Linked DNA regions of Macaca fascicularis. The protein of the gene in region 4 purifies or fractionates together with the protein of the main gene of each other region. This does not show direct contact. Links are inferred from orthologs where the notes say so. Each region holds a gene or a part of one and is shown on either strand. Other genes may lie near its edges.

Evidence for each region.
Region 1: the proteins of KPNB1 (region 4) and RANGAP1 purify together in Homo sapiens (affinity purification with mass spectrometry; 3 studies listed by BioGRID and IntAct, with this or other methods). This does not show direct contact. The link is inferred for Macaca fascicularis from reciprocal best matches to the Homo sapiens genes KPNB1 and RANGAP1.
Region 2: the proteins of KPNB1 (region 4) and DLGAP5 purify together in Homo sapiens (affinity purification with mass spectrometry; 4 studies listed by BioGRID and IntAct, with this or other methods). This does not show direct contact. The link is inferred for Macaca fascicularis from reciprocal best matches to the Homo sapiens genes KPNB1 and DLGAP5.
Region 3: the proteins of KPNB1 (region 4) and NUSAP1 purify together in Homo sapiens (affinity purification with mass spectrometry; 3 studies listed by BioGRID and IntAct, counting the BioPlex papers as one, with this or other methods). This does not show direct contact. The link is inferred for Macaca fascicularis from reciprocal best matches to the Homo sapiens genes KPNB1 and NUSAP1.

Annotation. Positions count from the first base shown.
Region 1 is NC_088384.1:10,359,852-10,365,093, forward strand, and holds part of RANGAP1 (ran GTPase-activating protein 1), read left to right. Parts: intron 1-1,392; coding exon 1,393-1,512; intron 1,513-3,030; coding exon 3,031-3,133; exon of another isoform or gene 3,134-3,306; intron 3,307-4,302; coding exon 4,303-4,391; intron 4,392-4,669; coding exon 4,670-4,791; intron 4,792-5,242. UniProt on the Homo sapiens protein: GTPase activator for RAN. Converts cytoplasmic GTP-bound RAN to GDP-bound RAN, which is essential for RAN-mediated nuclear import and export. Mediates dissociation of cargo from nuclear export complexes containing XPO1, RAN and RANBP2 after nuclear export.
Region 2 is NC_088381.1:123,007,989-123,012,425, reverse strand, and holds the end of DLGAP5 (disks large-associated protein 5), read left to right. Parts: intron 1-372; coding exon 373-419; intron 420-2,469; coding exon of another isoform or gene 2,470-2,560; intron 2,561-2,681; coding exon 2,682-2,801; 3' UTR 2,802-3,014; downstream 3,015-4,437. UniProt on the Homo sapiens protein: Potential cell cycle regulator that may play a role in carcinogenesis of cancer cells. Mitotic phosphoprotein regulated by the ubiquitin-proteasome pathway.
Region 3 is NC_088381.1:17,906,690-17,911,931, reverse strand, and holds part of NUSAP1 (nucleolar and spindle-associated protein 1), read right to left. Parts: intron 3,998-5,242; coding exon 3,890-3,997; intron 1,906-3,889; coding exon 1,796-1,905; intron 1-1,795. UniProt on the Homo sapiens protein: Microtubule-associated protein with the capacity to bundle and stabilize microtubules. May associate with chromosomes and promote the organization of mitotic spindle microtubules around them.
Region 4 is NC_088390.1:59,087,703-59,093,411, forward strand, and holds the start of KPNB1 (importin subunit beta-1), read right to left. Parts: upstream 4,033-5,709; 5' UTR 3,693-4,032; coding exon 3,653-3,692; intron 3,552-3,652; coding exon 3,493-3,551; intron 1,252-3,492; coding exon 1,069-1,251; intron 1-1,068.

The DNA.
Region 1 (5,242 bases), on a different chromosome or scaffold from region 4:
TCACTTGTCACCCAGGCTAGAGTGCAGTGGTGTGATCTCAGCTCACTGCAACCTCTGCCTCCTGGGTTCTAGCGATTCTCATGCCTCAGCCTCCCAAATAGCTGGGATTACAGGTGCTTGCCGCCTGGCCAATGTTTTTTTTGAGACAGCGTCTCGCTTTGTCGCCCAGGCTGGAGTGCAGTGGCGTGATCTCGGCTCACTGCAAGTTCTGCCTCCCAGGTTCACACCATTCTCCTGCCTCAGCCTCCTGAGTAGCTGGGACTACAGGTGCCCGCCACCATGCCCAGCTAATTTTTTATATTTTTAGTAGACTTGGGGTTTCACCATGTTAGCCAGGATGGTCTTGATCTGACCTCGTGATCCGCCTGCCTCGGCCTCCCAAAGTGCTGGGATTACAGGTGTGAGCCACTGCGCCCAGCCTCATCTGGCCAATTTTTGTATCTTTAGTAGAGCCAGGGTTTCGCCGTGTTGGCTAGGCTGGTCTTTGTTTTACTCCTGACCTCAGGTGATCCATCCGCCTCAACCTCCCAAAGTGCTGGGATTACAGGTGTTGAGCCACTGCGCCTGGCCATAATTACCTATATTTCTATTTATTCCAATATAAATGTCTATTTATAAGTAGCAGTGCTGCTGCATTACGTATATTATAAGATATGCGTAAGGATTTCTGAAAGAATAAACAAATAAGCATGAATGGAAATTCTAATTTTTTTTTTCCCACCCACCAGAAGATTGTCTTGGTGACCCTTAGGAACTGCTCCCCCATTCCTGGGATGGTGGCTGGGCCGTGACTTGGCTTGGGCACTTGGTGTCTGGCCTGGGGCTGGTGGCATCAGGGCTGCCACACCTCCAGTTCATTCATTTGCATTCCTTGTCAGGTTCCTAAGTAAAGCTCCTGGAGAACTTGGCTTTGGACAAGGACTCCCCACACTTACGCTGAATTGGGCTGCTTCTCTGGTTTACGGAAGCAGTTAAACAAATGGCTAGGTGCGCCTCAATTCGGGTTTTTCTCTGGGCACCTCTGGTGCTAGCAGGGTTTACCCAGGCTGGACTGGAGTTCTCCGGGGACCCACTTTGGCCCCCATGTGCCTCTGTGGTCGTTGCTGGGGCACTGCGTGTCGTGATGAGGATCCACTTGGTCGTATTTATGAGTCTCAGGGAGGTGGCTTCCCCCTGACCCCAAAGGCTCCTGGAGCAAGAGCCATCCAGGGCCAGCATCTCTAGGTGATGTTGATAGATGGGAAATGCAGCTGAGTGGGAGGAGGAATTCTAGACTTTGAGCCTAGATGGGCTGGAGTGAAGGATGGATGTGCTGGGTGTGGGGATGGGCACAGCTGGGTGGGGAGTCTGGGGTCCGGAATTCTCCAGAGCCTCTGTGCCTCCACTTCGCAGGAGCCAGCTCCCGTGCTGTCCTCCCCACCTCCTGCAGACGTCTCCACCTTCCTGGCTTTTCCCTCTCCAGAGAAGCTGCTGCGCCTGGGGCCCAAGAGCTCCATGTTGATAGCCCAGCAGGTAATAACCACACCTTGCCCCCCACCCTGTACTTGCCGTGGCTTCTGGAGCTGTTAGAGAAAAGGGACGAACAGCTCAGGGACCTGGGGGTGCGACACTGTCAGCTGGGGGCAGGGAGGCTTGGCCTGCCACTGTTAGAACACACACAAATGTCCAGGGTATTTATAAGCCTCCAGGGGTTGCAAATGTTCCCTCCTCACTCGGCCTACAGAAAGTGCAGCCCGCCAGTTCCCATGCTGACTGGGGTTAGGGAATTTCCTCAGGACTCTTGCATGTGCCCACCCCCTCCTGGGCTTCTCTCTGCATGTTCTGTCAGCCCAGCTGCTTGGAGAACAGCTCTGTTGCCCGGGGCCCCTCTGGGAGTGGCGTGCCTATTGCAGGATGGGTGAGAATAGCTCTGTTGCCCGGGGCCCCTCTGGGAGTGGCGTGCCTGTTGCAGGATGGCGCCCTCACTCCAGCCTAACTTGTTGGCTGGCTCATTCATTCATTCAGAGGTGATCTTTGGGGCATCCATTTTCTGTCAGGTACTGTATTTGGGCATGATTTTATTTAACCCTCTTGACAACTTGAAATGTAGACTTTGCTGCCCTTATTTTACAGATAAGAAAACAGAGGCTCGGAGGTATAGAGAAATAAAATGGGCGCACTCTCAGCGTTGGCTTAACATTTCGGCCAATTGCTTTGTTAGGTTTTGCCTGTGTTCTTTGTTTCTTTTAACATGATAAATAAGATGATGTAAGCCTTTTTGTGGCCTATCACTTTGGCTTAACACCATTCATCACTTTCTTGGGCCCCTAAAACTCTTCTCATGATTTTTATTCCAATGCATGGATGTAGCACTTAAAATCCAGGCACTATTTCTGGACGTTTTCCCTGGCCCACTTTTCCCTGTTGTCAGTGAGGTTGAGGTAAACTTCTCTGCATGTGAGTATCATCTACATCCTAGATTATTTCTTCAAGATGGGGACCACTGGGTCCCTGAAATGATCTTTTTGTGTGTGTGAGACACTGTTTTGCTTTGTCACTCTGGCTGGAGTCCAGTGGTGCAGTCGTGGCTCATTGCAACCTCAACCTCCTGAGCTCAAGCAGTCCTCCTGCCTCAGCCTCCCAAGTAGCTGAGACTATAGGCACACACCACCACCCTTGGCTAGTTTTTTTCCTTTTTGTTGACATGGGGTCTTGCTATGTTGCCCAGGCTGGTCTCAAACTTTTGGCCTCAAGCCATTCTCCCACCTCAGCCTCCCAAAGTGCTGGGGTTACAGGCATGAGCCACTGCACCTGGCTGGGATGATTTTTCATCCTTGTTCATTCACTCATTCATTCCCTCTCTATGCTGCATATTTGCTTGCTGCAGGCCAAGTCCAAGCCAGACTCTGAAGGGACAGCATGGGGTAAGGCAGGACCTGTCCTTGCCTGCCAGGGGCTGGTGTACTGCCTGGGCCTCTCCTAGCTAGTGGCAGAGCCCAGGGACATCTCCCCCATGTGCCACAGGCCAACCATTGTCTCTTATGTCCTCAGACTGACACGTCTGACCCCGAGAAGGTGGTCTCTGCCTTCCTAAAGGTGTCATCTGTGTTCAAGGACGAAGCTACTGTGAGGACGGCAGTGCAGGATGCAGTAGGTAATGTGGGCTGGGTGAGGCCGGGGTGCCCGCTGGCCCTTGATGCTCGTGAGGCCCCGGGCCCTTTGTGGTCGCCGTCACTCGTCAGCCCCAGTGCTGTCATGGGAACTGCTCTTTGAGACCCTGTGCTGCTCCTCCATCAGGGTCCTGCCATGGTCCTGCCGTGGAGCCAGGTGGGTGCTCGTCTCCCTGTTTTTCACCACTGAGAAACTGAGGCCTTTCTCAAATCCACACAGCCATATAGAGTTAGAACCCAGAGCCCGCTCTAGGAAGGCCAGATAGTCACATCCGCAAGCCCGATGGACGCAGGTCTGTCGGGAGGAGGGATGCTGAGAGCTGAGCCCTTGTGCGTACCTCAGAGCCTCTGTGCTCATGTCCATTCTACCTGGAGCTTCCCTGCACAGAGGACACCTTTCCCTGTAACATTATGGGGCCTTCTCGGAGCACCAGCCCACGTCCCTCCTGCCCTATGGCAACCCTGTCCCCACCCTGTCTGTTTCCTCCATTCCAGCACCTGTCACCTTCCACCCTGTGCTTGACTGAGGCAGAGGGGAGGAAGGGCCCTGAGGCAAGGGGCGCGGCTCCTGGAAAAGGATAGAAAGGGGTGGAAGGACATGTGGTGCCTCTTCCTGGCCTCTACTGTGGGTGGCGTTAAAGTGGGGAGGGCAGCTCAGTGGGAAGGGAGGCTTGGAAGGAGGTGGGGCCAGACACAAGCCTGCTCCCTGAGGGCCTGCCCGGGGGCATTTATGGGAACAAGTTGCCCTAGTTCTGTTGCCCAGGAAGCCTAGCACAGTCCCCTCACATCCCCTCCACCCACCCCACCAAAATAACCTGAATCCTCCCCCAGTGGTGGCCTGCCTCAGGAAATCTCCACTCCCACGGTGTGAGGTGGGCACAGTGGCTGTCATCCCCACACCCATGTTACACCTGAGGCCAGGATGGGGAAGGGCCAGAGTGTCACAGCTGGTAGATGGACTGAGCCCATCCCCTGATGCCAACTGCCCCTCCCTCTGGTTCCTGTGTCTCTGCCATCCCTCTTGTGTTCGCCTCTTCGTCAGGGCAAGGAGGCAGGCGAGCCTGTGTGTGCGCGGTGTGGGGGGAGCCTTGGGTGCCTTGGCACAGCGCTCTGCCGTAGCCAGCAGCCTGCCCCTGCTACTTCTGCCCTACAGATGCCCTGATGAAGAAGGCTTTCAGCTCCTCGTCCTTCAACTCCAGCGCCTTCCTCACCAGGCTCCTCGCACACATGGGTCTACTCAAGGTGAGGCCGGAAGGAGCAGCAGGCGCGGGAGGGAGGTGGGCGAGGTCTGCACAGAAGCTGCCCCAGCCATGCCTGCCAGCCTCCCTCACCTCGAGTCCTGAGCCGTCTCACCCACTGGGCCCTGAGGCCTGGGTCCGCCCCAGCAGCCTCGATCTTCATGATGAGGTTCCGGCTGGACTCAGTTGTGAGCACCGCCCGCAGAGTCTGGATGGTGGAGTCCAGGGGCCGCCCAGGTGAACTTGACGCTCACCCCGCCTTTCGCTGTGTTCCCCTCACAGAGTGAAGATAAGGTCAAGGCCATTGCCAACCTGTACGGCCCCCTGATGGCACTGAACCACATGGTGCAGCAGGACTATTTCCCCAAGGCCCTTGCACCCCTGCTGCTGGCATTCATAACCAAGTGAGTGTGGCCCTGTTGTCCTTCTGCCGCGGCCTGTCCTCTCAGGCTTCTCTGGCCAGGTCCAAAGGCCTCCAGTCCCAGGAGGTCCAGCCCAGCCAGCCTGCTGGCCCTGCTCGGGTGCACAAGAGGCCCTCATGCTTCCTGGGCTCTCAGCATCTGTGTTGGAGTCTCACCACCCTCGGGAGGCCCGCTCCCCTCTGCCTAGCTGAGGACAGTAGGGCTCAGGGGCAGTGAGAGAGGAGACATGTAACGCCCCCATTTTGCCGATGAGGAAAGGAGCACCGGGTTGGTTAAAGAGTTTCCCTTGGTCACACACTAGGAAGAGGCTGGGCCAGTGTCCAGACCCACGTCTGTGAGCAAGGTGCTATGCGTGGTGACATCTCTGGAGGGGCTTTTTGTCCATGCTCACAGTAGTGCAGGCCGAAGGGGCCCAGTCACACTAGGCCCTGCA
Region 2 (4,437 bases), on a different chromosome or scaffold from region 4:
CCAGTTCCACCTGCTATCTTCATCAGTTACTCTGTAGCTGATCTAACTGGGGCCTATGGTAAAACAAAAGGTTATAACCTTGGCCAGACATTTAATGTCTTCCAGCTGTTCTTCATCAGCATCTTCTGGGTACTTTTAATATTACAAGTATGAGATTTGTTTACAGAAGACTCCTTTTATACCAAAGTTAAGGATAAGAATTTAACCAAGAAATTTAACTACTTTCAAAAAGTATAGCATAAGATGGTCTATATTTTTGTCTTAGCATTTGATATGTGGAACTTTTCATATTTTTCAAGGTTTTGTCCATTTCTAAGACCCTCGAACGTGAGAATATTCTTTAAAAAGTTAATTTTTTTTGTTGTTTTTCAGTACTATTTGATAAAAGTCTCACTACTGAATGCCACCTTCTTGATTCGGTAAGTTTTCCAACTTAATTTGACAAGTCCCTTTATACTCTAGATTTGTTTTATAAAATGAATATTGCTTTTCTATTTGTGTACAAGGCCTAAAATGTATATCTTGTCATTGTTTTGCTCACTCACTATTTTTCACAGAATGAAGAAAAAATTTGGTGTTTATATACTTTAAAATGTAATATGTTTTAATATTAAACCCTGAAGATATGTTTCTCTATGTGGTTTTTCTATCAAATTTGCTCTGATAAACTGGATACTTGAATGTCTGAATATATTTCTAGGTGATTCAAGAAAAATATAAGGCAGTTTCTGCCCTTCTGGGGAAATCATGTCTATCCCACCTTCAGTCGTCATTGGTTATTTATGTCCTGCTATTTTAAGTGACTACTTCCCTGCTTTTACTTCTGGTGACCTCTTGCCTCTAAATCTAGTTCAGACAGCCCTTTTGTGAAGCATTCTGTAAAAGCTCTTATCTCTCCCATGTTAATTTATATATAGCTACAGATGCACATAGGCATACAGTGTTTACATTTCATCTCTTATTCAGGGTATAATATGAATGCATTCCAAAAATATAACTTCAGGAATCTAATTCCTTATTAACTGTAAATTCCACATTAAGTAGAGCTGTCCGATTCATACCTTTGATATGGCACGAATTAAAAGTGCTCTCTTTCCTGCTGTTTATATATAGCATTGGTTTCAGCCCCATCCCAGACGTTTTTTTGTTTTGTTGTTTGCAGACAGTTTCACTCTTGCACCCAGGCTGGAGTGCAATGGTGTGATCTTGGCTCACTGCAACCTCTGCCTCCCGGGTTCAAGCAGTTCTCCTGCCTCAGCCTCCCGAGTAGCTGGGATTACAGGTGTCTGCTACCGTGCCTGGCTAATTTTTGTATTTTTTAGTAGAGATGCGGGGTTTCACCATGTTGGCCAGGCTTGTCTTGAACTCTTGACCTCAGGTGAGCCACCGTGCCTGGCCGATATTTTTATTTCAAAGATCTGGAGTAGGGATTTGTCATTTTTTTCTTCATCAGTGATTCTTATGGTTTACACCTCTGGTTTACAGCCTTACCTTGGAATTTTCCAGGACTAACTACTACAGTAGATCAGAAAATGGCCTTGGTTTTATTCTTCTTTAATCTCAGAATGTAAGAAATTCATTCATAAAGCAAATATAGGATCAAACAACCACAGTTTTTGTTAACTTCATGAAACCTGGCAAATACTTAGCTTCCATAAGCCATGAATTCCTTAAAGACCCTTGTGTATCTTGGCTTTCATTATTTTTCAAAGCTGCCTTTTTTGTGGTCAGGCCCTGGGCTGTCCTGTGTCTCAGGAGCAGAATAAAATGTGTTACTGTGACCCGCATACCATTCTTTCTTGGTTTTAGCCTTCTTTAATCATACACTGAGACCTAGAGGATCAGGGCTTTTAGAATAAGGCCAACTTATGTAAACCTGATTTAACCCTGTTCCCAGATCAAACTCTGAATGATTGATTCTGAGAATATATGTTGTTATAAGTAAATCCAGAGATTACCAAATCATAATATTTTAATATATTAGTAATGTGATTAAAAGTACATCACAATTATGTTTTCTCATTGATAGATCTTAGTACCTTATCATTTAGTCTGATTTTTTTCACTTCTGTAAATATTAATATTTAGATGTCTATTTTAGACCCAAATTATTGCTTGCCCCAGTAGCATAATTTGAACTTGAAGCAGGGCTTGAGGGAGTAAAAAGATCTCAGCAGGATCACACAGTAGTAAAAGGGCTATTAAGTGCTATTATATGGTTTAGGATTTATGGAATCTGTGTAAGTGGCTTAAGATATGGCCTCAGTTTTATTCATTCTGCATACACTGGTTGAGTCCATTTACATATTATTCACATTTTATACATATATTCTGAATATACCTTTCCAATTTAAAAATAACTAATATACATTTGAAATAAGATCTGCTAGAAAGTAGCATAATCGTTGTTTATAATTTTATTGTTATATAGGGAAAATATTTACATGTTTCTTTTTGTTTGTTTTTGAGATGGGATCTTGCTATGTTGCTCGGGCTGGTCTTGAAGTCCTGGGTTCAAGTGATCCTACCACCTCAGCCTCCCGAGTAGCTGGGACTACAGGTGTGCACCACCGCACCCGGTTTATTTATGTTATTTATTAATTTACTATAGCAATGTTAAAGAATTACTTGGTGAAACTCGTGATGGATACTTTACTGACTTCTCTGGATTTGTTCTCCAGCCAGGTCTACAGTGCAGTAATCCATTTACTCAGCTGGAGAGGAGACATCAAGAGCATGCCAGACACATTTCTTTTGGTGGTAACTTGATTACTTTTTCACCTCTACAAGGAGAATTTTGAATTTAAAAATAAATCCATTTTCCTTCACATTATCAATGCTTATATATTCTTTAGACTATTGAAATTTTGGAGAAAATGTATTTGTGTTCACTTCTATAGTATCATATAATGTTTTAATACTCTGTTTATCAAAGTGTATTTTAGATATACTCTTTCTCAAGGGAAGTGGGGATATTTTGTACATTTTCAACACAGAATAAAAAATATACTGTGCCTTGCCTCTCTTGTTTGAAAGGAATAAGCTTAAGGCTAAGTATACTTAGCGCTTATAAACATTCTTTAGTTTAATTGAAATATTAACCTGTGACAGAAGTATTTGCATCTTTTTACACTTTATTCTTAGTTTGAAATCCTAAATTTGTTGACATTGAACAGCTTTGGGTATTACATTTTTCCATAGTATTCTGAGTTTCTTTACATGAGCTTTCTGGATTCCGAAGTCAGTTTGACATGCTGCGGTTTCAAACAGTTCAATCATTAGAGGTACCCATTAAGTCCTTGCCTTTTTGTTTTCATTTTCCCATTGGCATGCCCAAGAGACATTGAGGAGATGCTTTTTACTTTTGAAAAAAATCGTGTCAATCATATAACATATCAGTCATATGAACATTTAAAAAACTGGTACAAAGAAACCCAAGATTTACAGTTAATACAAAGCAATATGTGACACAACAATATTTTGCTCTCAAAAATAAAGCAGATCAGAATAAGACAATGTCAGTAAATGTGATCTTTAATAAGATGTATCACTGAGTTGTTTAGAAAGCTTTCAGCTGTTCATGGCCCTGGGCCATTAGAAAACCCTAGTTTATGTATATTTCTTTTTCCTACATGGCTTGTTTGAATTACTCAAACAAGGAATGGACTCGAACTGGCTTAACAGTAAGGAAATTTATTATTTCACAAGTTATCAAAGTGATTCCAGGTACTTTATAATCAATAGCTCAGTGATCACATCAAGGTCCAACTTTCTGTTCCTAGTTCATTCTGTTATCCTTGATGTCGGCTTCTCCTCTACGGCTGGGTCTTTTTGGGGTCATAAGATGGCTGCTATTGGCAGTTAGAGTTATGTTCTTCCCTTTGGCCTGATTAGACCAACTAATGCCACATCCCCATCTGCAGATCAGTAAGCCAGCAGGGGATTGACTTAAATGAATCAGAATTCCCTGTTGAATCTGGGATCACACCTGAATAAAACCTTGGCTCTTAGGAAACAAGGAATAGATATTGGGTAGGCAACCATCAGTGTCCCCTACTAGATAACGTGCTTGGCTATTGGAGTCTAGAATTATGAGGTATTAGGAAAATTTTTAGAGACAAAATGAAAGAAAACTGTTTTGGACAGAGCAAGAGTTCTTAATGCAGTGTATTGTCAGAGGAAAAAAAAAGTTCTTTTCTACCAAAATAGAATGGGAATTGCTATTTATTGAGGACCTACTATTTGACAGTCCCTTTGCAAACAATATTTTACTTAATGTTACAGTAACTCTATAAGACCTGTGCATTTGATAGACAAAGGAACCAAGGCTCAGAGGATTTAAGTAATTTTGTGTAAACCAAGTTCTCTCTTTTCTCCAAAGCTATGTTCTTCCATTTATTTAATAAGAGTAGAAGTCAAGACCCAAATGTTGGGGTA
Region 3 (5,242 bases), on a different chromosome or scaffold from region 4:
CAGCTACTGGGGAGGCTAAGGCAGGAGAATCGCTTGAATTAGGAAGGCAGAAGTGGTTGCAGTGAGCTGAGACCGTACCATTGCCCTCCAGCCTGGGCAACAAGAGCAAAACTCTGTCTCAAAAAAAAAAAGAAAAAAAAATTGTAACAGTGGTTTTACATTGTTAAAATGAATGTTTATTATTTCAATGAAGCTTCTCACCAAGAAGCTTAGGTACTTAAATAAAATTATTTACAACTTATCACCCAGTGAGTTTTCCTCTTGGCCCTAGCTGCCAGAAAACTTAAACTCAGCTGAGAGACTGATGGTAATCAATACTGTACCCACTAACAGTGCTTTTAAATTGACTATACTATTTTATATTTAATACCATAAACTTAAATTATTTTGAGAATAGGCCTTAAATTATTTTTAAGAAATAGGGAAGTTATGTAACATAAACATGGGGTTAAGAATTAAATACAGCGAATAGAAATAAATATAATCTGGTGGCTCACACCTGTAATCCCAGCACTTTGGGAGGCTGAGGTGGGAGGATCACTTGAGCCTAGGCATTCAAGGAGAGCCTGGGCATCACAGGGAGACCCTGACTTTATAAGAAAAATACATAAATCAATCAATATTTTAAAATGTGTTTCTTGCCCTCCCTTTGGCACTGCCTTAACACCAGATACCAATAACATCAACTTGCTAGAATGTTATTAACTCACTACTCTGCTAACTCAGTCTCAGAGTTGACTTTATCACCTTCTCTTACTTTGAGGAGGCTTTGAGTCCTGTGGGACCTGGACTGAAAGCCCTAGAGGGAGCTGTTACCACAGGAACCCTTCAGCTTTGCCACTATTAATCACCCATTTTTCTTTACATAAGGGACAAGGGAAAGAAGACGGCTTCAGCCATAAGTTGGTTCATCCTCAATGAAAGTAATAGGCAAAACATCTGAATATGGAAAGTAGAATGACATTGCCATTTTGGAAATAGTTTCTCATAGTCAGGATTCACTGTTTTCTGTTTTTTCAGACGGAGTCTCACTCTGTCACCCAGGCTGGAGCACAGTGGCATGATCTTGGCTCACTGTAACCTTGGCCTCCTGGTTCAAGTGATTCTCCTGCCTCAGCCTCCTGAGTAGCTGGGATTACAGGCGTGTGCCAACCCCTGCTAATTTTTTGTATTTTTTTGTAGAGACAGGGTTTCACCATGTTGGCCAGGCTGGCCTTGAACTCCTGATCTGAGGTAATCCACCTGCCTTGGCCTCCCAAAATGCTAGGATTGCAGGCATGAGACACTGCGCTTGGCCATGGATTCAGTTTTATCCAGAGGATTTTGAAAATTCTCAGAGTAGGGGAAAGCAAGTTTTAGATAAAGATATATATATATATATATTTTTTTTTTGAGACGGAGTCTCACGCTGTTGCCCAGGCTGGAGTGCAGTGGCGCGATCTCGGCTCACTGCAAGCTCCGCCTCCCGGGTTCCCGCCATTCTCCTGCCTCAGCCTCCTGAGTAGCTGGGACTACAGGCGCCCGCCACCGCGCCCGGCTAATTTTTTGTATTTTTAGTAGAGACGGGGTTTCACTGTGGTCTCGATCTCCTGACCTTGTGATCCGCCCGCCTCGGCCTCCCAAAGTGCTGGGATTACAGGCTTGAGCCACCGCGCCCGGCCAGATAAAGATATATTAAACTCAAACAAATCTACTGGTAGAGTGATAGCCAGTTGTTGTAACCATGGTGTTATATAGTTTCAAAATTATAATCAAACAGTTTAGTCCCATTAAGAACATAATTTTATCTACATACCTTCAGATCATTCATGGAATTGCGTTCTTCAAAATGTTTCTTTTTTCTCTCAATATATTGATCGATGGACTCCATTTCCTTAAAATGAGCTTCATGAAGCTTCTTAAAGTCTAGAATGTTCCCCCAATATAAAAGTTAGTAACAAAACAAAATCCATTTACCTTCTCTGTGTTTTTCCGTTAACACTTATTCTCTTTTTTGCATCCCTGATATTCAACTTCAATATAATTTTTGCTAAAACATTAATTTCAAAATACTTAGTTTTTGGAAACTCAGGGGCAAAGCACATTCGTCTTATAAACTATCAAACATTCACCATCTCCTCATTGACAAATTTCACTAAATTGACATCTTGGTTTAGTCCAGAGGATGACAGTAGAAGATTTATCTTCTCCCTTACCAATTAGTCACAAGTGGTCTTTATTTAATCATGAATTTGATATTTTATAATGCTGTATGTCAACGACTGATAAACTTATTCTATAAAGGGCTAGATAAAAGTATTTAAGGCTTGGCTGGGCATGGTGGCTCCCAACTGTAATTCCAGAACTTTGGGAGGCCAAGGTGGGCAGATCACCTGAGGTCGGGAGCTCGAGACCAGCCTGAACAACATGGAGAAACCCTGTCTACTAAAAATACAAAAATTAGCCGGGTGTGGTGGCACATGCCTGTAATCCCAGCTACTCAGGACACTGAAGCAGGAGAATCGCTTGAACCCGGGAGGTATCCAGCCTGGGCAATAAGAGCAAACCTTCATCTCAAAAACAAAAAGAAAACAAACAAAAAAAGTATTTTAGGCCTTATGGCAACATGTGATATGGTCTCTGTCTCATATTCTTCTTGTTTTTATTTATTTTTTTTGAGATGGAGTCTTGCTCTGTTACCCAGGCTAGAGTGCAATGGCGTGATCTTGGCTTACTGCAACCTCCGCCTCCTGGGTTCAAGCGATTCTCCTGCCTCAGTTTTCTGAGTAGCTGGGGTTAAAGGCACTTGCCACCATATCCAGCTAATTTTTTTGTATTTTTAGTAGAGACGGGGTTTTACCATGCTGGCCAGTCTGTTCTCAAACTCCCGACTTCAGGTGATCCACCCCCCTGCACCTCCCAACGTGCTGGGATTACAGGTGTGAGAACCATGCCTGGCCATTCTTCTTGTTTTTAAATTCTTTAAAAAATATAAAAACCATTATTAGCTCAAAGGATATAAGACAGGCCAAGGGAGGCAGCAGTTTGCTGACCCCTGCTGTATCCTGTTCTGATTAAGTATATGAACATTTACTGAATTTTGAATATAAGATGAGCAGCATTGTAACTACTATAAATATAATAATCAACATTCTATGTGCCAAGCAATGTTCCAACAATACAAGAGAGAAGAAGAATTACATGTCCAAAAACAGAGTCATTTAGACTTATGAAAAACTTATTAGAAGGTGGGCATTGTACCAAGTACTTCGTACATTCATTCATCAGATGTTTATTGAATCCTTGCTGCATGCTATTTGCCATGATAGGGAAGCAGTAGTGGAAAAAGTATTCTCAATTTATGTATCTATCAACCTGATGAAATAGGTACTATAGGCCAGGCAGGGTGGCTCACACCTGGAATCTCAGCACTTTGGGAGGCTGAGGCAGGCAGATCACGAGGTCAAGAGATCGAGACCATGCTGGCCAACATGGTGAAGCCCCGTCTCTTCTGAAAATACAAAAATCAGCTGGTCGTGGTGGAGCACACCTGTAGTCCCAGCTACTCGGGAGGCTGAGGCAGGAGAATCACTTGAACCTGGGAGGCAGAGGTTGCAGTGAGCCAAGATCACGCCACTGCACTCTAGCCTAGGCGAGAGAGCAAGACCCTGTCTCAAAAAAAAAAAAAGAAAAAAAAAAAGAAATAGGTACTATAGTATAACTATTTCCACTTTACACTGAGGAAGTGAGTTTATTGAAGATGAGTAATTTCCCCAAGATCTTAAGCCTAAAAGATGAGAGAACTAGAATGTAAACTGGTTCCAGCCTCTATGCTTTTAGCTGTTCCAGTCCAACATCAGTTTGAAGTGGGGCAACCATTACTTATTATGGCTTTGCCTACAAAACTTACTTGGAGTAGGAGTAGTGATTGCAGTTCTTTTATTTTTTCCACGTTTGGATGACTCATCCGTGTAGACAGATTTCTTTCTTTTTGAAGGTACCTTTGAATCTTTGTTACCTAAATCCAAAGACACAGAAATAATGAAGGATATCAAAAAAGTTCTCATTAAGAAATATGTGACCGGGCATGGTGGCTCACGCCTGTAATCCCAGCACTTTGGGAGGTCTAGGCGGACGGATTGCGAGGTCAGGAGATTGAGACCATCCTGGCTAACATGGTGAAATCCCGTCTCTACTAAAAATACAAAAAGTTGGCCGGGCGTAGTGGCGGGTGCCTGTAGTTCCAGCAACTTCGGAGGTTGAGGTAGGAGAATGGCATGAACCCGGGAAGCGGAGCTTGCAGTGAGCCAAGATCGCACCACTGCACTCCAGCCTGGGCAATAGAGTGAGACTCCATCTCTTTAAAAAAAAAAAAAAAAAAAGAAAGGAAAAAGAAATATGTGTAAGTTAACAGAGCATTTTCACATGGTAGGCTCTGCCAAGGTGGTTGTAGAAATAGCACATAAGGAGCACAAAGAATTAGTTACAGCATTCCTACGATTACAGTTCATATGCTTCAAGTAGGCATTCAGAAATTTTCTGACGCCTGTGGAGCCCAGTGGCTCACACCTGTAATCCCAGCACGTTGAGAGGCTGAGGCAGGTGGATCATGAGTCCAAGAGATCGAGACCATCCTGGCCAACATGGTGAAACCCCGTCTCTACTAAAAATACAAAAATTAGCTGGGCGAGGTGGGGTGTGCCTGTGATCCCAGCTACTCGGGAAGCTGAGGCAGGAGAATTGCTTGAAAACGGGAGGCGGAGGTTGCAGTGAGCCGAGACTGCACCATTGCACTCCAGCCTGGAAACAAAGCAAGACTCTGTCTCAAAAAAAATAAATACATAAAATAAAAATACAGAAAGTTGGCCAGGTGCAGTGGCTCATGCCTGTAATCCCAGCACTTTGGGAGGCTGAGATGGGCAGATGGCTTGGGCACAGGAGTTTGAGACGAGCCTGGGCAGCACAGCGAGACCCCATCTCTGTTTTGTTTTGTTTTGTTTTGAGACGGAGTCTCGCTCTGTAGCCCGGGCTGGAGTGCAGTGGCCGGATCTCAGCTCACTGCAAGCTCCGCCTCCCAGGTTTACGCCATTCTCCTGCCTCAGCCTCCCGAGTAGCTGGGACTACAGGCGCCCGCCACCTTGCCCGGCTAGTTTTTTTTTGTATTTTTTTAGTAGAGACGGGGTTTCACGGTGTTCGCCAGGATGGTCTCGATCTCCTGACCTCGTGATCCGCCCGTCTCGGCCTCCCAAAGTGCTGGGATTAC
Region 4 (5,709 bases):
TTTTTTTTTTTTTTGAGACGGAGTCTCACGCTGTTGCCCAGGCTGGAGTGCAGTGGCGCGATGTCGGCTCACTGCAAGCTCCGCCTCCCGGGTTCCCGCCATTCTCCTGCCTCAGCCTCCTGAGTAGCTGGGACTACAGGCGCCCGCCACCACGCCCGGCTAATTTTTTGTATTTTTAGTAGAGACGGGGTTTCACTGTGGTCTCAATCTCCTGACCTTGTGATCCGCCCGCCTCGGCCTCCCAAAGTGCTGGGATTACAGGCTTGAGCCACCGCGCCCGGCCAAAGATTGAGATTTAAACAGCAGAAGTTCAACAAGAGCCAGGTGCTGGTTGACTGGATAATCACTTGGGGAGACAGTTTAAAAAACATCCCTTGGCCAGGCGCAGTGGCTCACGCCTGTAATCCCAGCACTTTGGGAGGCCGAGGTAGATGGATCATGAGGTCAGGAGTTCAAGACCACTCTAGCCAAGATGGTGAACCCCCGTCTCTACTAAAAATACAAAAATTAGCTGGGCGTGGTGACGGGTGCCTGTAATCCCAGCTACTTGGGAGGCTGAGGCAGATAACATCTTGAACCCGGGAGGCAGAGGTTGCAGTGAGCCAAGATCATGCCATTGCACTCCAGCCTGGGCAACAGAGCAAGACTCCGTCTCCAAAAAAAACCAAAAAAGTGCCTGAGCTGTACTCCAGAAGTACCAAATCGGAGTTTCTGGAGAGCTGGGAAATACGTATTAACAAATTCCCTAAGTGATGTGGGTATACAGCACCAATTTATACACTACTCCCATTTGTCAAACAGATTTTTACAAATTATGACACACAATTAAAGTTTCCCAAGCTGCTGCAGCCTACCTCAATCATCTAAAAAGAATTCCAATCCATCAATGGGAATGGACAAGCTGTGTTGAGAAAGATTTAAGACAAAGACAATTTTTATCTTTAGGTGAAGTTCAAGTCCCAGAAACCTATCACACTGTCAGCTCTATCCCATGCAAATAGCAAAAGATCTGAGAAAGCAATTTCTTGTTCTCTAGGTAATATAACCAAACAGATGAGTGTTACTCACATAGTTCTTGACTTCTCGTCGAGCATTAGCATCAATAGCAAGCCACCTCTGCTGATATTGTGCCTTGATATCTGGATCTTTAGATGTCAAAGAGTTCTTGATTTGTAGACCAGCTGCAACTCTGGCAACCTGACTATTTCCTGGATTTGCCAGCACTCTGGACAGTTCCACAAGGAAAGTGGGCTGTTAAGGGAAGATAAATTTGTAAATAAAATTATCTTAGGAATTTCCACAACTGAGAATAATTTATGGAGCACTGAACCACCGGAGGAGGGGTGAGGTGGGGGGGGAACTAATGTCTAATTTTTTTTTGGTATATCATAAGCATCTCAGGAAACCACAAAATACCTACTACAAGACTTCTACAAAAATGTTACTTAGTATATAACAGGAAGTCTTCCACTTTTCTCATGGAGCCTAGCACTTAATGAGGAATTGCAGATTTTCCTATCAAAATCATTCCTAGTACCCAAATTGTCACGTTATACCCCCTGAATTGCAAGGTTTTAGAGTATGGTAGTAGTTAGTCTTCTGTGTATACTGAGGTGTCCCAAGAATTCTTAATAATGTCTGGTACTTGAATGAATGGCTGTTACGATGCGGGTAGAAAATAAAACTGTTTATCTAAATTTCAAAAACCTTGGTCCCAAAAGAATGATCCAAGTTTCCATCTCATGGCAGCAGCAGGGTAGCTTTTCATCCCATGGAAGGAGGTGATCTTTTATGAGAGAGGGAAATATAGATAAGCCTAAACAAACTTAGGAGCCTCATCCTCCGTTTTATTTGTGGGCACTCAGCAAAAAGGGAACAACGAAAAAAGCGGATTTACAAGGAAAATTGGTAAGATATTTAGAAATAGGGAAAAAGTGAAAGAAAAAAATGTTCAGGCAAGCTGTTCAAGAAAAATAACTTTGTATCTAATAATCAACAATTACTTGCTCCTATACATTTGGACTTTAGTTGAGGAATACAGTGGATCCCTGAAAAGCATGTTCTTTTGTAACCTTTTGTAATCCACAGGCCTCAAAAACTACTCCCTTTGTTTAAAAATTTAACACACACACCTCTCTCTCCAGCAAAAAAACCGTGCCCAAACAGCAAAGTTAGCAGGAAAAGCCAAAAGCAGATACATTTTTCTTACTGCTAACAAGTTCTGCAATCACAGCAGAAGATAATTCTTAAAAGTTTTATTAATTATGTACCACTAAAGAATGTTAAGAATGTTAGGAATAAGATAAAAAGCTTCTTGCAAAATTAGCAAAAGCAGAAACAGGAATAATACCCTAAATGGAATTATCAGCCTATACTAGTGGAAAAATCTATTCTAGGAAAGGATAAACAGGTTAGTTGTAAAAATTGGCACATATGAAGAACAAAAAAAAAATCATTCAAAGGCAGCCTGTATAAAATAAGCCTTGTCACTTTGTTGATGTTGACATTTTGCCTATATAACACAAAGAAACACATATGGTTACAATGTTATTCAGACTTATTTCCTATTACCTTTCTCAAAGATGTCAAGCATCATCCAATCCTTCCCTCTGACCCCATCTCCCAATAGGAGATGGACACCAAAGAGAAACTTAACTGGCATCTAGGCTGTTTCAACCAATCCATCCTACATTTTTATACAAAGGACCAGTCTCTAGCGGACTTAGCTTCATTTTCTCCGGACCCCTTAAATTTTAAAATATGAAAAACGAGTAACTTTCCTCTGTGATTTCATCAGGAAACAGGCCCGATCTCAAAGATGAGCCTCACACTGTTGTCTGGGTGCAGATCCCTAGTGATTAGGTTTCTATTCATCCAGGTCAGAAGGAAAGGGAAAAAAAAAAAAAGGAAGAAAAAGAAAATACCCCGAGAGGAATAACCGGGCAGAAGAGGGAAAAATATTAGTGGAAATGGGTTAAGAGGCAGTCGGGTGCCAGGCCTGGCCATGAGCACACACCAAGGTAGCGAGGAAAGGGCAGAGCTCTAGGAAATAGGTGGGGAGAGCCACAGGGGCCACGGGACAGGAAGGATAAGCCGGCCGGGGTCAAACAGGGAGGGCAACCGGGCCCAGAGCTTCCACATGGCCCCTAGGCCTGACTCCCCCACCCCCACCTCTGCTGAACACGCAGCGCCGCGCAACCTAACTTCCCTTCCCTCCCTCTTTCTCCCTCCCGCTGCACCGCCGCCCTCAGGCCGCGCAATGATTGGGCGACAGGCAGCCCGGCGCGCCCCGCCATTGGCCAGTCGCAGGGCCCGGGGCGGGACACACCCACCGGCTTCCCGATGGCGGGGTTAGGTTGGACCGGGTTGGGGGGGAGGGGGACGGGATGGGGCGGGGTAGGTTCCCGAGGCCTGGGCCTCCCGGAGGGCGGGAAGGCCCCGCACGCAGGGGATGGGGACGCGGCGGGATGGGCGCGGCGGGGTAGCACGCACCAGGTTCTCCACGGCCGCACGCTCCAGGAACTTCTGCGCCGCTTCCAGCTCCAGCCGATCTGGGGGGAGGAAAGTGGGAGACGGAGCGGGGTCAGAGGGGCCGGGCCTCCCCTCCCCCACCCCAATCACCTCAGCCCGACCCCCGGCTCCTGCGTCCTACCGGGAGACACGGTCTTCTCGAGGATGGTGATCAGCTCCATGGCGGAGGTGGCGGCGGCGGCGACTCCTCCTAAGACGACGGCCCGGCCTTTCGGGCGGCGGCTCGAACTGGGGATGGGGGTTGGGGGTCGGGTGGGAAGGGAGGGTGGGGTGGGGGGCGGGGGTCACCACAAGCCCATTCACCGGCTCTTTCTGGGTAGTCGCTCCAGCTCCCCTTAGTCTCTTCTTCTCTTACTTCCTCCCTCCGAATGGGCTGCTGGCAGCGGGGGAGGGACCCCGGGGGCAGCTCAGAGCGCGCTGGTGCTCGGAAGGCGGAGGGAGAAAGAAGGAAGAGAAGCTGTGAGTGAGAGGCGGCACGCAGGGAGGGAGCGAGGGCGGGAGGAAGGCGGAGGGATATTCGGGCCGGACCTCGCCGCGGCGGCGCCGCGCTCCACGGCGATTGGCCGCTGTTCTGGCCACGCGGAATCCCCAATTGGCCAGGCGCTCAGCGTCGAAAGGCCGCCTTTCGCCCATTCGCCTGCTGGTTTCAAGGCCCGGGGTGGCTGGGCGGGCAGGGGAATGGAGCGCCCTAATTGGCCGAGGGGAGGGAGATTGGGATGGGGCCGGAGAGAGCCCGCCGCTGATTGGGTTGGGCTTGGTAAAGGCCTTGAGCTCAGACCGGCTGAGCGCCGAGGAGGGTGGACCGAAGGCACGACTCGGAGCCTGCGCGATTGGCTGGGATAGTGGGCGTTGATAGGATAGGGTGCCTGGGAGAACTGGGGAGAGGAGTTCGGGGTCGGGGCGCGGGAAGGCGGGAGGCGCCCGGCTGCCCTCGGAGCCCGGCGCGGGGCACGATGGGACGCCCCCGGGAAGAGGCGGAGCTGGGTTCGACCGCTGGGGCTGCGGTTGGGTAAGCGCCGTCGCTCCGAGGGGCGTGTTGAGCGAGGCTTTCGCGGGCGTGAGCGGGGGAGGGGGGACCGTTGAAGTCCTGCGCCGCGCCCGCAGGAAGCTGCTTTAATGGCTAAGTCGGCTTGGTACCCTGCTCTTGGCTGGGACGGATCCGTAAGGCCATGTGGCTCCACTTGAAATGTGTAGATGTGGAAACTGAAGCCCAGAGAGGGTATGGAACTTGCCCAAAGTCACACAGCCGGTTAGCGGCTTGGTAAGGAATGGGTTCAGGAGCCTAGAGGGTATGGAACTTGTCCAAGGTCGTACAGCTGGTTAGTGGCTTGATAAGCTCAAGCTCTGCTGACTGCCGTTGTCCCTACAAGCAGCTTTCTCTCCAAGGAGTCCCCTAGGCCTGCTTATATAGGGCTTGAGACCTGTACTAAGTCTGACTTGCTTAGGGGTGAGCTAAGGGAATCCTACACTTAGACACCCCATCCTTGACAGAATGGAAATGCTTCACCCTGTAAAGGCTCAACCTCGAACCAGAAAGAATGTGTGTACAGGCATAAAGGATCGTGGTTCTTGACCTGTTTTAGTTCTGAACTCCTGAAGAAACTCATGAATGCCTTTTCTTAGCAAAATGCATATAAAGAAAATGTGGGCCGGATGCGGTGGCTGATGCCTGTAATCCCAGCACTTTGGGAGGCCGAGCGGGGCGGATCACGAGTCGGAGACCATCCTGGCCAACATGGTGAAACCCTGTCTCTACTAAAATACAAAAAAATAGCCCGGCGTGGTGGCGCATGCCTATAGTCCCAGCTACTCCTGAGGCCGAGGCAGGACGATCTCTTGAACCCTGGAGGCAGAGGTTGCAGTGAGCCGATATCGCGCTCCGTCTCAAAGAAAAGAAAAAAATGTGCATACAGTATCTTGACTTTCTTTGACATTGGTAAGTGGGCTGTAGGTTAAGAATTTCCTAGGCTGGGAGCAGTGGCACAGACCTGTAATCCCAGGACTTTGGGAGGATCGCTTGAGCCCAGGAGTTCAAGACTAAGCTGGACAACGTAACGAGATCCTGTAAAGATTTTTAAAATGATAAAGGAAAAGTGTAATAATGGGGCCGGGTGCAGTTGCTCATGCCTGTAATCCCAGCACTTTGGGAGGCCGAGGCGGGCGGACTTGAGGTCAGGA